Linked DNA regions of Drosophila melanogaster. The protein of the gene in region 2 interacts with the protein of the main gene of each other region in a pairwise test. Each region holds a gene or a part of one and is shown on either strand. Other genes may lie near its edges.

The links. Proteins that work in one complex are often made in the same cells at the same time.
Region 1: the proteins of CG15185 (region 2) and CG12115 interact in a two-hybrid assay, tested with the Drosophila melanogaster proteins (one large-scale study listed by BioGRID).

What each region holds. Positions count from the first base shown.
Region 1 is NC_004354.4:9,187,141-9,193,940, reverse strand, and holds CG12115 (uncharacterized protein), read left to right. Parts: upstream 1-3,335; 5' UTR 3,336-3,359; coding exon 3,360-3,401; intron 3,402-3,812; coding exon 3,813-4,562; 3' UTR 4,563-4,615; downstream 4,616-6,800. Other genes in the region: CG12056 (uncharacterized protein), read right to left, coding at 386-1,249; CG12057 (uncharacterized protein), read right to left, coding at 1,597-2,256.
Region 2 is NT_033777.3:6,523,783-6,530,719, forward strand, and holds CG15185 (uncharacterized protein), read left to right. Parts: upstream 1-3,725; 5' UTR 3,726-3,746; coding exon 3,747-4,775; 3' UTR 4,776-4,892; downstream 4,893-6,937.

The DNA.
Region 1 (6,800 bases), on a different chromosome or scaffold from region 2:
CTAACGGTCTTAACAGCAGCTTTTAAGTGTGAAATGTTACTGTTAAGGCAGTGCGGCCTCGCTAAAGTTGAAAAGAGAACCAAGTCCCGTTCATTGGTATGTCTATTAAAGGGTATTGATTTACAGATACAACAAATAATATCCAACGATTTAAATAAAGTTGAGCTGTTGATAGCAAATAAATGGTTTGGTTTTACAGATAGAAATAAGTGTGCTCAAGTATTTAGCTTGAATGTCAACATTTCCCAATTGTTGTTGTCGATGTAGCGCAACTAAAAATTTAACAGAAGAGAACCGGAACTAGTTCCGCCAGCCATGTTAACTCCACCTAATAATTTATTGATCCAAATGCACTAATTACTATTTACAAATCCCGGCCCTGCTGCTACACCCTGTAGAAGCACTCCCTGGCCTGTGGCTCGCAATTGTCGTAGGGTTTCAGCATGGCATCACCGTGAGCCACCTTGCCGCCGGCATCGATCTCGTCCAGCTCCGCATCCGGCACACAGGCGCACTGGAAACTCTTGTTGCCGCGACTGTACAGCTTGCGCGGATAACCGATCCAGGAGCGCTCCTTGCCATCGCCACTGGTCGTGGTGCACCAGACGCGAGTGCCGCGCTCCTCGCTCCACTCGATATTGCAGCCGGGATACCGGGCACGCAGCTCCTCCACCTGTCGCTTGGCATCTCGTGCCTGCTCCAGCAGCTCCAGAAACTTATGATGATAGGTGGTCAGGGCGCCCTTCTCATCGTAGAAGCGCCCAATTACCCGTCCCTTGTAGACGTAGTCCTTTTGATAGAAATCCCGCCATCCGGCCAAACCAATCAGGTCGTCCGGCTTTAGGGTTAACACATCGTCGGCCGTTTCCGGATCGTACGTCTCAAAATCACCGGAAATGAAGGATACGGAGGCGTCGCGACCCACGAAGAAGTTGTAGCTGCAGCCGGATCCGTAATGCTTAATGCCGCGGCTCACATCGAAGACGGAACCGAGTAGAGCCAGGTAAAGCGGACGACCCTCTTCCTCGCCATTGAATTTGGCCAACTCGGCCGGTGTAAAGAGCGTGCCGATATCGTCACCAGCTTGGAACGCCAGGGGAATGCTCGCATCCTGCCCAGCTTGGTCCAGGTAGTTGTCCGTTTGGCGACGCAGGAACTGCCTAATCTCTGTGTGATAAATTCCGCCCAGAACGGCTGCCACAACGAAAAGAAATTGAAATTTGAACAGGTGTCGCAGCAATCCGAACATCTTGCCGTTTAACAGTGCGGAACCGAAACTGGTTCCACTTGAAATTGAAACTAGCGTACGGTTAAGGTGACCATGCCAGATAACAGACCGGAAAACCGGTTTGAATTTAAAATTTTGTATTTTCATTCTATGTATAATAATGTAAGTTTTTCGATTAACTCCGTTATTTATTTATACTTTCGTACACAAAAATTGAACTTTAAAATAAATTCTTTCTAAAATGTTAGCACACAAATCACACTGCAACAAGCAACACTGCAAAAAAAAAAAAAATAACTAAATAACATTTGGCATAGAACATGCATAATTTTTATTTGCAGAATCCAGGTAAATAAGTTTGTGTTCACCTAGCGACGACGGTAGACGCAGGCGTCGATGTTGTTGTTCACCTCCTGGAGACCGAGCACCGCCTGCGAGGATGCGGAGTGGGTGCACACATTGCCATCGGCGAAGACGTCCGGGATGCGTTCGCTGGTCGACTGACGGATGGTCTTGATGGAGGAGCGCGCACTGACCAAATAGACGGTGGCCTGGACATAGAACTTGGCCAAGCAGGTCTGCTTCAGCACGGAGTTCTTGTACGAGTTGCATTTGTTGTAGGTGCTGGCCAGGCTGTAGCCACCGTAGACCAGTTGCTGGGTGGCGGCACTCACATCGGAGGCAATTTCGGCGGATGTCTGGGCGGCCACAACGCCGCAGGCGTACAGATCCTCATGGGCGGCATTCACGATGCGGGTGATCTCCTCATCCTCGGCGGCCACGCATTCGGGACTCTCCTCGCGACGCGACTCCACCTGCTCGACGGCTGCCTCCAATTCGTTTTGCGGCTCCAGGACGATCTCTTCGTACTGACTCAACAGTACCTCGCCGGTCGCCTTGCCAATGCTGGTCATCTCATCCACCACGCTGCGCACCTGGGCGTCCAGCTGGCTGGGCATGTCCAGCGGTTGGGCCCATCCACTGGCAACGAAAAGGGTTAGGATAATGGCAACGGTGTATTGCTTCATGTTTGATACTTTAGCTTCTGCTGATGGGGAATTTTTTAGTACAAATCGTATTTATACCCTGGTCATCCAGGAATGGATTATTCGCAGACGGTAATTGGCTAATCTGGATTGGTGGCCATAAATTTATTGCAGCCATTGTAAATCACTCACGGTTTGGTTGGATTAGTGAACTTTACATTCGGACGCTATTCATTGAGTTTAGCGTATTTGGATTTAGATTAAAATTAGAACGATCAAACAAAGAATGTTAAAAACATCATAACAATGGCTTGTATGTACAATGCCACTTAATGAATGAAAAGGGTAGGAACTAAATGTGTAAATACAATTTAATTTATTATTTGTTTACACATTTTTTTTAAACAGCATAAAAGCATATTAAAGTAATCCTTTTATATGATTATATCTTACACCACTTGGTTTATCTGGCAAAAGAAATCAAAGGAAAATCCAGTCAGATATCACAATTAAAAATTTAATATAAAAAAAAAAAAAAACGGTGAACTGGGAACACCCAAAAAAGGCAAACAACATTAACGCGTGTGTGTCTAATGTCTCAAGTGATTCCATAGATTGGATTGCCACTGTTTTCTTTCCTGACTTCGCAATGACTTTTAATCGAGGGCATAAGCAGTCCCATAAATTATATGACATTATCTTCTATAATTATGGCATTATTTAGATGCTTCGATTAGTGCGATTTTGAAGTGGCGAATCCAGTAATAGATGTTTCCTATCGCTCAACGCAATATAATATAATTTGTGATCTTATCGAAAGTCTCCCTCTCTTTTCAGCCCACTTTTCTCTCTCTCTCTCTCTCTCTCTCTCTCTCTCTCTCTCTCTCTCTCTCTCTCTCTCACTCTTTCTTTCTCTCTCTGGAGTCGTTGGGGACAAAAAAAAAGTAAGACGGAAATTATTGCGATTAAAGTTAGCCAAATAATGGGAAATATACCAATTGGCCGATAAAAAAGAACTCTTGAATATATTTTAATTAACTGGGGGCACCGATATGGCAATCTGAATGCGCACCAAGTGTGTCGTCCATCCATATATAAAGTGACTTCGCAGCAAGATCTCGTCTAAATCCATTCAAAAACCAACAATGAGGAGTATTATTTTGGTGTTGTCATTCGCCTTGGCGGCTGTGAGTAGAAAATTAAAGATATATGCCATGTAAAATCCAATAAAAATATAAGTTTTCTAAAAATGAAACAAAACTAACAGTTTTGATTTGGCAAAAAAGAATAGGATTCATTTTATCAAGCCTATCGAAATAACAGATCAACAGTGCGTATGCGCGATATCTGATAAAAACCTTATCGTTTTAATATTGCTCTGCGTTTGAAACATATTTTAGAAAACAGTGATACTACTTTTCGAATATATTTCAAATGCAAACAATAAACTTACGAAAAAATGTATAGTTGCCAAGGAAGATTTTTAAAGTTGGTCCACAGTGCGTATGATTAATGTGATTTGCCATAGTTAGCATTGAAATCCACCAGCGTTTACCACAAAGATATAACAAATCAAATTGAATGCACATGATTTTCAGGTCTCAGCCTTGCAACTGGAGGAGCCAGTGGTTGAACAGGATGTTTCTCTGCAGGAATTGGCCAAGCAACTGGGTCTCGAACTGAATCTGGACTTTGACTTGGGACTGAAACTAGACCTGGTTGACGAGCTGCCCGAGGAGGGCATCCTGGATGTGGACGAGCTCGCCATTCTGGATCGCACGTTGCGCTTGCTCATCGCCGAATCGAAAGCTCTGGCCAAGGAGATCATTCTGCTGACGGAGCGCCAGCTGCTAAAGATCTTCCTGTGGCCAATTAAGGAGCTGGAGAAGCTGGCGGAGGATGTGGAGAGACGGGCATTGGATGCGGGCGAGTGTGCCATCAATGTGACCAGCAGTTCGGCCGATTTGGTGGCATCCACCACACTAGACTTTCTGGGCTGCGCACGCGATGCTGCCGTCACGTCGATCAATCTGGTGCTGGACACCAAGAAGGCGGTGCTCCAACTGACCCTCGATGGCTATCAGCTGTATCAATTGAGAAAAGAATGCAACAGTTACAAGGCTAATAGCATTCGAAAGAAGACATGCAAGGTCAAGTTTACCACCAAGGGCATCCTGTACGTTGCCAATGGACAGGCCTCGTTGCGATACCTGATCAGATTGCGAAAAAGCGTTCCCGCCGTGGCTACCGATGCCACCAGCTGCACCACCAAGTCCACCGAGAATGCCATCCAAGGATTTGACGACCTGAACGCCGCCATCGATGCCTGTGCTGCAAATTTTAAGTGAATGTGAAAAGTGACAAAATAAAAATATAAAAAATGCATCCAAGTTATATGAAGAAAATCGATTTGTTTTGGTTTTTTGAGTTATTAGTTTTATTTAAATTTGGTTTCATTATCGTTCATCTTCTTTAAATACAATAAATAAACATTTAAACTATTTAGTGGTATGTATATATATAAATCGTTTGTTTTTGTTTTTTTTTTTTTTTGTTAAATATTTTAAATAAGTGTATATATATTGTATTTCATGGGGTCTTCGCCATCAACTTTTGCCGCGATTACATAATTGTTCTTCGTTTTTCGTACCAAAACTTTTGCATTTTCGGGATTGGTTTGTTTTGGTTTCTTGGTTTTTTAGTTTTTAAAGAAACTTGGTTTGTTTTGGTTTGTTATATAAGTAAATTGCTGTGTTCGGGCTTACGGTCGTCAAATGTCTCCTATATATTTTTTGTATATATAAATATATATGTATATATATATAATATATATTTACATATATATCGTACTATATACCACACACATTGGCGTGTAAGTAAAAGTAGCTTGTTGCATAAATACTAATGTATAAATTGTCGGTTTTTGGTTTCTAATCTCTACTCAAGTATGATCCCACATACAAATACAACTAAGTTTTGCATGTACTGGTATATCTGTATATGTATGTATATGTGTCTGTGTGTGGGTGTGGGTGTGGGTGTGTGAGTGTGAGTGTCGGCTGTACATATGTAGAATGTATGTACCATTATCAATAATTAGTTAAACTGTAGCTAGTATATGTATTTGCCATATGTTGCTCAACAATTTCTTGTACCTCCCGCATTTTACGATTATTTTATTGGAGTTTTTCATTTTCATTTTCGATTGCAGTGATTTCTCGTGATTTTCAATTATATATGTTTTGTTTTTTGTTTTTTTTTTTTTCATTAGTCACAGATGTTTTTAGGCGCGCTTGTATGCTTTAATGAATTCAGCGTGTGTTGTATATTATTAATAATTCAATTTGTTATAGTAGAAAAAAAAAATATAAGTAAAAGGCAATTTCTTAGTATTTTTCAATTTTTTGTTGGTTTTTTTTTCTGAAAAAATTTGTGCTTAATTTTGTAGAGATTTTCTTTCATTGCCTGCCTTCTATTCGTTTAAAACAAAAAATGTTAAGATATTTTTTTGTTTAGGTTTTTTGTGTTTTTGGTTTTTTCTTTAATTTTAATAATGTATAATATTTAGTTCAATAAATTCGTTACGACACATGGACTAAGACACAGCAAAAAATATTCATGCTTAATTTAGATTCAGTTTTGTGTGATTTCTTTTTTTTTTTGTTTTGTATTTTTCGTATTCATCTCGCATTTGATTTGTTATAATTGTTAGATCTTTTTGCGGTATTATGGTTTCAATTGCATATTATACTTCACATACTTCGCGTCCTAAATGCGCTTGTAAATATTTGTCAATAATAAATGATGAAACAGCTTAAGAACTCGAGTTTTCTTTTTTATTTGTTATTTTTTATAATTTATGTTATTTTCATTCGCGAATATTTTGCAAGACACCTGCCGGTACATAGTTTATCTGTCAGCTTCCAAAATTTATAGTTATTTTCGAAATTCTTTGCTTTTGGGGCTAAACGTTCAACGGTTTTACGCTCACTGATAACATCCAATCGGTAGTTGGTAATCGTTAATTGGTAATCGGTAATCGGTAATCGGTATCGGTAATTTATAGATAATTTCGTATTTTCCGTATTCTCGTATGCGGTATTCGGTTTTGATATGTTCGCTTCAAATGCGTGTCATGAAAATACATTTGCTTTGCTGATTCTGCAATACAACTTCATTTAATAAAAATATACAGTAGAACCAGGCTACTACATAAGTACATAGTTAATTTTTTTTTTGTTATCTATATGTATGTCTGTTGACTAAATTGGGCAAATATTTATATTTTTACTTTAATTTGTTCATTGGGCGTTGTAATTCCGTATTCGTTCGTAAGTGCAAAAACATCATTTTTGAAACTGCATTTCATCTTCGATTTTCCATATTCATTTTCAACCGTTTTGGTTTCATTTTTTTTCAATATTATTATTACAATAGTGTGGCCAAAGCTTATTGTCGGAAGCGTTATGCATTTTAGGTTTAGTTTTTCATTATTTATTCGGTTTTCTAACTTTTCTTTAATGTTTTGTAAAAATATTTTCGTTACTCGTCAATTTCGTTTTGGAATGATGGAACATTAAAATGAA
Region 2 (6,937 bases):
ATTCGCGCTTAAAAGCTGTTTCACTCCCGGATTCCCTCTAGCAATTTCCCCCGTTTTCTGCGGGGGGTCCCTAACTAATTATAAAACGGATGCGCCACATTTTCCAACCCGAAACCCCCGCTTTTTTTTAGGTAGCGCTTTGTTTAAGGCCGCAAGTCCCAACCAGAAAAGGGACAGATAAATGCGACGGTCTGCTCCTAAAATAACAGTATTTTGCATAATTGTTGACCCAGAAAGTCCGAAAAGAAAGCAGCAACAAAACAGGGGAACTTGCTGCTGCTGCTGCTGCTGCAAAGAATGTAATTTCTTTTTCTTATTTTCCCCAGCATTTTCCCTCGGCGTCGCTGTGGGAACCGCCAGTGATTTGTAATTAGGAAACGGCCGCCAACTGTCGCCTTGGTTTTGGCCTGGCCAGGACGATGCCACGCCCCATTTGCACCGCAACGGAGGCGGTGGCATCAGCGGCAGCGGCTGGAGGCATTAGCGAACGTTAAATACCCAAGTGCCATCTGCTAAGGGGAAAAGCGGCTACATACAAAAAAAAAAAAAGTGACCGGGAAAATTAAATGAATGAAAAGTGCTAGAAGAAAAGTGTAAAGCAATGACGGCGACGCCTTTTCGCCATTTTCGCAGTTTGCGGCTTGGTGGGAAATGGGGAGAGAAAAGCGTATGGGGCTGGTGATGGTGGAAAACTGTGGCGAAGATTCCCAGCCATTTGTGTGCGTAGTTGGCGAAAGTTTATTAAACATTTAAATTCACTCATTTCTCGGTGGAACTGCTCCTTTCTTTTTCGGCTGGGGAAATGACCAAAAATTGAAATTATTTCATGTCCGGTGTCACCATTTTCGGCTACCGTTTTGGGTTCAACTTGGTTTGGTTCTGGGGTTCTTTTGCTGTAAAATTAATCCATTGATGCAGAACTTCTGAAACTTCATTTTCAACGGAAATTTATAAATTTTGGGCCAGCGGCCTTGGCCGGCCCTTGTTTACTCATGTCCTGCATGCTTCCGTTTTTCCACTTTTCCACTTTCTCTGCCTTTTCGGCCACCGGAAACGACCTTTTCTTTCTGCATAATTTCGGGAAATATGTTTGCAGCAGTTGGTAATGTTTCGGGTAAAGTTTGGGCCAATGATTTATGGTGGGAATTCGTTTTAAAACGGTTTAGTCGTCTTAGAAGCGTTTTAACACAAACGGGCTAATTTTATTGTTTTTATTTGTTTGATATAAATCAAAGCCAATATGAAAGCATGTTTATCTTTATTCCTAATACTTATATAAATTTATTAATATTCTGATATATTCCGCTTATATTTATCGTGCAAAAAGCTTCACCAATTGTTTGTCAGAAATGAAATTTAAATATTATTCCACTTGGTAAAAATGTTTCTATTAAAATATGGAGTATACTGTAATTCAAATGTGTTTTTTTTGTTGTAATTGATTAAATCTGGAAAAACATGATAAGATAAATGCCTAAAATTATATTCCTCTTAAAAATCCGTTGAAAAAATCTATGTTAAGCCCAAGAACACCTGAAGGGCACCGAAAGTACCTTGCAAAACTTTGGCAAATGACCAACAGCGCTGCGGTGCCGAAGGAATACATCCCGATGCGAATGCATCCTTTTCGGTAATAAAATCGCGTTTAGACATGGTCCTTTGCAATCACAAATCCTATTCAAACCGCTCGGCTTGGCTTTGATTCCGAAAGCCCCGAAAACTTTTCCGCCCCCAAATTGAAAGGAATCTTTGTAGTGCACAAGTGTGTGTGTGTGTGTGTGTGTGTGTGTGTACGGCTGCTCGAAGCAGAGGCTCTTTGGCATTAGCCACCATCCTGTGCTCCTTGATCCTGGCTCCTTTCAATGGCTCACCTTGTGAGAAGAGCATATACAATGGGTACACCCACACACGCACACACCACCCCACTTCGTCGCATTCAGACTCTCACTTATTAGAGGAAAAGCAGGTGAAACCCATCCTTAAGGCGGTGACGTTGCACTCGGAAGTCAGTCTGAATATGCAGCCCAGAAAATGGCAATAATGAAATCAAAATGTGAATGCCCTTTGCATTTCCTACTTACAGTTTGACCCTGTTACGAGCCAAGCAAAAGCAAAAGCTACAGATGAGCCTGGTCAGCCTGCAGGCACTTCCTTTGCCTGCCACGCCCCCCGTTGAATAAGCCCTCATTAGTCCCCCTTTCGAGAATTATGCGGCTTCGCAGCGTTGGCTGCTGCATTAAATTTGCATTCGAAAGCTGCGTTCGAAAGTTGAGACAAATCCTTGCCAGGCATTCGTTATGAGGATTCTTTTAGGGCCGCAGGTCAAAGCAAGTTTGGAGAAGCTTATTCAAATTATCAGATTTAGATACGAAGAACTCTCTCAAAATGGTAAACTAATATAAGCCAAGACTGTGTTAAATGGCAAAAAATAATCTTAAAGCAAATAGTTTCGTTAATAAAAATTTGATGCAATGATTGGGCTTTACAAACTTTTTTTAATCATATCCCCCTTCACTTGTTAATTTTTTTTGTGAACTCTACACAACCACTACTCTCCGCCTCGCACAAGAATCGGCAGTCTGCAAAGTATAGAGTTCTTCTTTTGACATTCCTATGGCGACTTGACCGCAGGATGTTTGTTACACTCGTATAACTTAAACCCCTCCAAGTACGAGAATGGCGCGAAGAAACGCCACATAACTCCATTAGGATTTTTAGGACAAGTTCGAGTCCCGCATATGTAATTAAAATATGTTCAAGGATCTCTGAATCTCTCAAGTAACGTTCAAGTAACTTACAGTAAATTAAATTTCACTGGAAAATAATCAATAAATGAAAATGAATGCTATAGTTCCAGAAGAACGAACTACATATATTTTGTTTCTATTACGTTTCCTAATATACATACATGCATGCCAACAGATTACGAACTTTATCCGTTTTATTAATGTTCTGGGCTACTATTATTGTAAATCTCTCGATGTTCCCCGTTTTAATTTATTTGCCAGACACAATGCGGTCGACAACAATTGCAGGACGTCGGCTGTCCTAATGGAAAATGGCCGGATCAAACCCTCAATCCTTTCAGTCACGTTTGTCCTTGTTGCCTCGCCTGGAATTAGACAACGAGTCGACCTTGACCCGACTGTTGACTCCATTGTCCACCCCGTTGGCTCGGATGGCTTAATTTTATATTTCCGTTGTAAATACACCCAAAACTGGTTCCATTCACATTCCGACACTAATGTTTTAACATTTCATTATTCGTTTTTCAAACACCAAGCTTAAAATATTTCTACCACTCAGATGATTGTTGCACTATTGCGTTAAATTGATGATTGTTAAATCTCATATTTGGTCAATTTGCTATTCATCACCTCTGCTTTTAAAATCGATTAAGCAGTGTTGTCATCTTATAAAATTGAGATGTGGAGAAAACTCTTAAGAAACTAGTTCTTTCGTAAACAATATGGCCGTGTTTATAACTTCGTGTAGCAGGCTTGTAAAAATGATAACAATCGCTGTTAAATTTCCAAGGAATCACATATTTAACAGTGTATGAAAAACGCAATATTTGTTTTTTCTAACTTTACAAATTAAATTATATAACTAATCCCCAATATCGCCATTCACCCAGAAAAATAGTTTTATCGATAAGTGGGTATCTCCATCCCTGGCTATAGCACGTTTCGGAAGAAAGTTTTTTTTTGACAATAAGATAATTAATACTATAAATAGCTTATACAATGGATACCCACATTGTTTGTGACCAAGTCTTTATTGCGCATGCTGAAGATGAATTGTTACTTATTTACGACAATGAAATTAATTTCGGGGAGGATCCTGCCCCAATCTATGATGACGTCTGGCAAAGCGAAGAGGACGTGACCCCAGAAGAGATTCTAGCCGACGTCAAAGACTACGGAGCTTTAGAGGAAGTAATGGACACTCCTATAATTTACGAAATCTCGGATAGCGAGAATGAAATGACTCCAGAAGAGAATTTAAACGAGGTCGTAGACCACGATTCGAGGAAAAAAAATGTCACTTACGATGTAGACGTTTCGGCCCTAATCCAGAATACCGAGCTCTTTCAACCAGAAAAACTTATGGTCTACATTCACGGTCCAAATTTCACGTTTCCAGATTCGGGATTCTTTGCAGAGCAGGGAGATAACTTGAATGCAAACAATGTAACCTACAAGACGATCGCGTCTGATACTATTAGCCATTCACCTGGAGAAGTGACCGATGTGACAGGCGTAATCTGTTATCACAGCCATGACTTCGTCTTCCAGGCATACTCGCCGCCATCGATCCCCAGCTTGCATGCCGACCATTGTCCTCGTCACTTCAAAACCTCACGAAACGTCTTCTGGGCCGAAATGGAGGAGGTGTCCTGCATCCTGCTGCATTCGGCGGCCGCCTATTTAGAGGCCCCCGCTTATGTGCACGACGACACGATTGCTTTTGTTGCCAAGGGTCTCGCCTTGGCCAAGGAATTCATGACCGATGGGGAAACTCCCCAGAGCAGACCGCAGAGCATCGGTCGCCTGGTGGCCGCCATTGTCATGGACAGGAAGTCGGCCGTTGTAATGGCATATGCCGTGAACCACTTCGTTCCTCAGACCATGACCGATGACAGCACAGGCGAGGTGTTAGGCATAATGCTCAATAACGTCATTCGCGGATTTGCCATCAACGACCACCTCCGTCGTATCATTATCAAAAAGACCTGCCCCGTTCTTTCCGTGGTGAACCAAATTCCAAACTAATAGTTCCCCGGCATCGCATCGAATCAATTTCATATTTTCATCATATCATCATGTGTGGCTAGTTTGAGCATTTGGGAAGGTAACACAAGAATAACCAGAAAACTGAATATAAGTGATAAAATAACGGTTGTCCTTGTAACTTTTAAGGTGTCTGTCAATTTTTTAAAATTAAAATATACAGGCTTTGTTTTAACATGTTGTTATCAGAAATGGGTTCCTATAATGAACACTATGTGATTATTTTTTATTAATCATATAAGGTTTTAAAGATAAGAAGAGAAAATCAAAAACTGTCCCGTCAGTGAATTTTGAAATGTTTTATTTTTAAGATGTATGGGAAAAAAACTAGTAATGATAAATAATTCTGTGGCTTAAAAAAAAAGGCATTTTAAGCTTAGATTTTCAGATAACTAAATGAATGCTTTAAAATGTGGTTTGCATATAAAAATTTTAACTATTTTGCACATTGCTGTATGTACCAGATGTATAATAAATCTTGCTTATGATTAAATAAATAAATAAATGAATAATTTTTTTTTAAATTTGTACTTACCATAAGTGTTGGACTTTTTTTTTCTTAAACTCCAATGAAAAGACTTCTTTAAGTTATTCAATTGTATTATTTTATTGTATGTAATGCAATAAATTTGTCAGTTAAAGTTCACATAGTTCTTAGTTTCGTTTACATATGTATATGTGTATGTAAGTATTTTCGTTATTAGTCGGTACTTAACATTAAACTTTGCTATATCATGAGTACACGTGTGTTCGAGTGTCTGTCTTTAAAAGGTAACGTCCACACCTCTGCGAATTTGGGACTTTTGCGTTTAATGCGATTTATTTACAATTAGTCGGGTGTTGATAATTACACGAATGGCGTCTACACGTTAATCGAGTTGATGAAAAACACTTAAGAGCTTAGAAATGTATTTTGATTTCGATTTGTATCGTACTTGCCTATGGTCATATATGTACGCCGCTTAGGTCTAACAAACTGTCATTGTTCAACATTCACTTAAATGGGGTGTCCAACCGGCTGTTGGTGGCTTTTTGGCGGGAAATTAAAAGGCTGAACATAAGTGTCAGGGTTGGGCGCTGCTGTGGGGTGGGTGGCTGAAAGGTGGTTAGCCGCAGACCGCGAACATTTGATGCATGCAAGCCGGAATGTGTTAATTGTCCACACCCGTAAAAAGAAAAGCCCGCCCCTGCTGTAATATTGACCACAGAAATTTATTTCCGTGGCTTTTTCTCGCCCGTCTGTCTGCGAAGCGTGTTTGCGTTGGCTCACAGCTGCTTGCGGTTAACTTGGCCCGGGATCAATTTGTTAAGCGCTCAAAGACGGGCGCATCCAGTATACGCAGGGTGTGACAGCCGACGCCTTGGGACAATCGCACACATAATTAATGCCGCTTTGAGGGCATTGATTGAGTGGGAGTGGGCCTGCACCTAATTGCAATTAAGTTGACGCTGCAGCCTCAATTTCTACGTACACACAAATTCACGAGCAGAGACAACTTTAATTAATTTCAGACGATTTTTATGGGATTTGCCGTGGATCGGGGGAGTGCGTGTAATTAAAAAGGACGTTAAGTGGATAAATAAATACGAGCCGAGCCTGCGGGTTGGCGATGCACACGATGTTTACATTTTGTCCGTTTGATTCGTTTTATTTATTTCTTTGGCCGCCTTGCGCCTTTGTCTCCTGCCGCTATTTGTTTATTTATTTATTTTATGTATTTATTTGTATCGTTTAAATGCAATTCATTAGTGTTTGGAATACGTCTCTGGTTGGATTCTGCCATTTATATTATTTGTATATTCAATTAATTTACATTTTGCTGAACGATTTCGCAATAGAGTTATATACAGTTCGCGATTCAGTCCGCTGAATTCAATAAATTTACTTTCGTTATCAATTAAATTGTTTTTGCTTTCGTCCATTCCGATCAATGAGTGTATTTGCTATAATTTTTTGTTCTTACGCAATATTTACTTTATGAATTTTGGGTTTTCCCGCATGTTTCGAGCTTGTTCGTGAGATAAGAGCACATAAAATAGAGTTCCATAAATTGGCTATGCAAATGTTTGCGATGTGGCACATACCACATCGGACTCCGAATATGTGGGTGCTATGTTTGCCAAAGATAATGCTGAATATACTC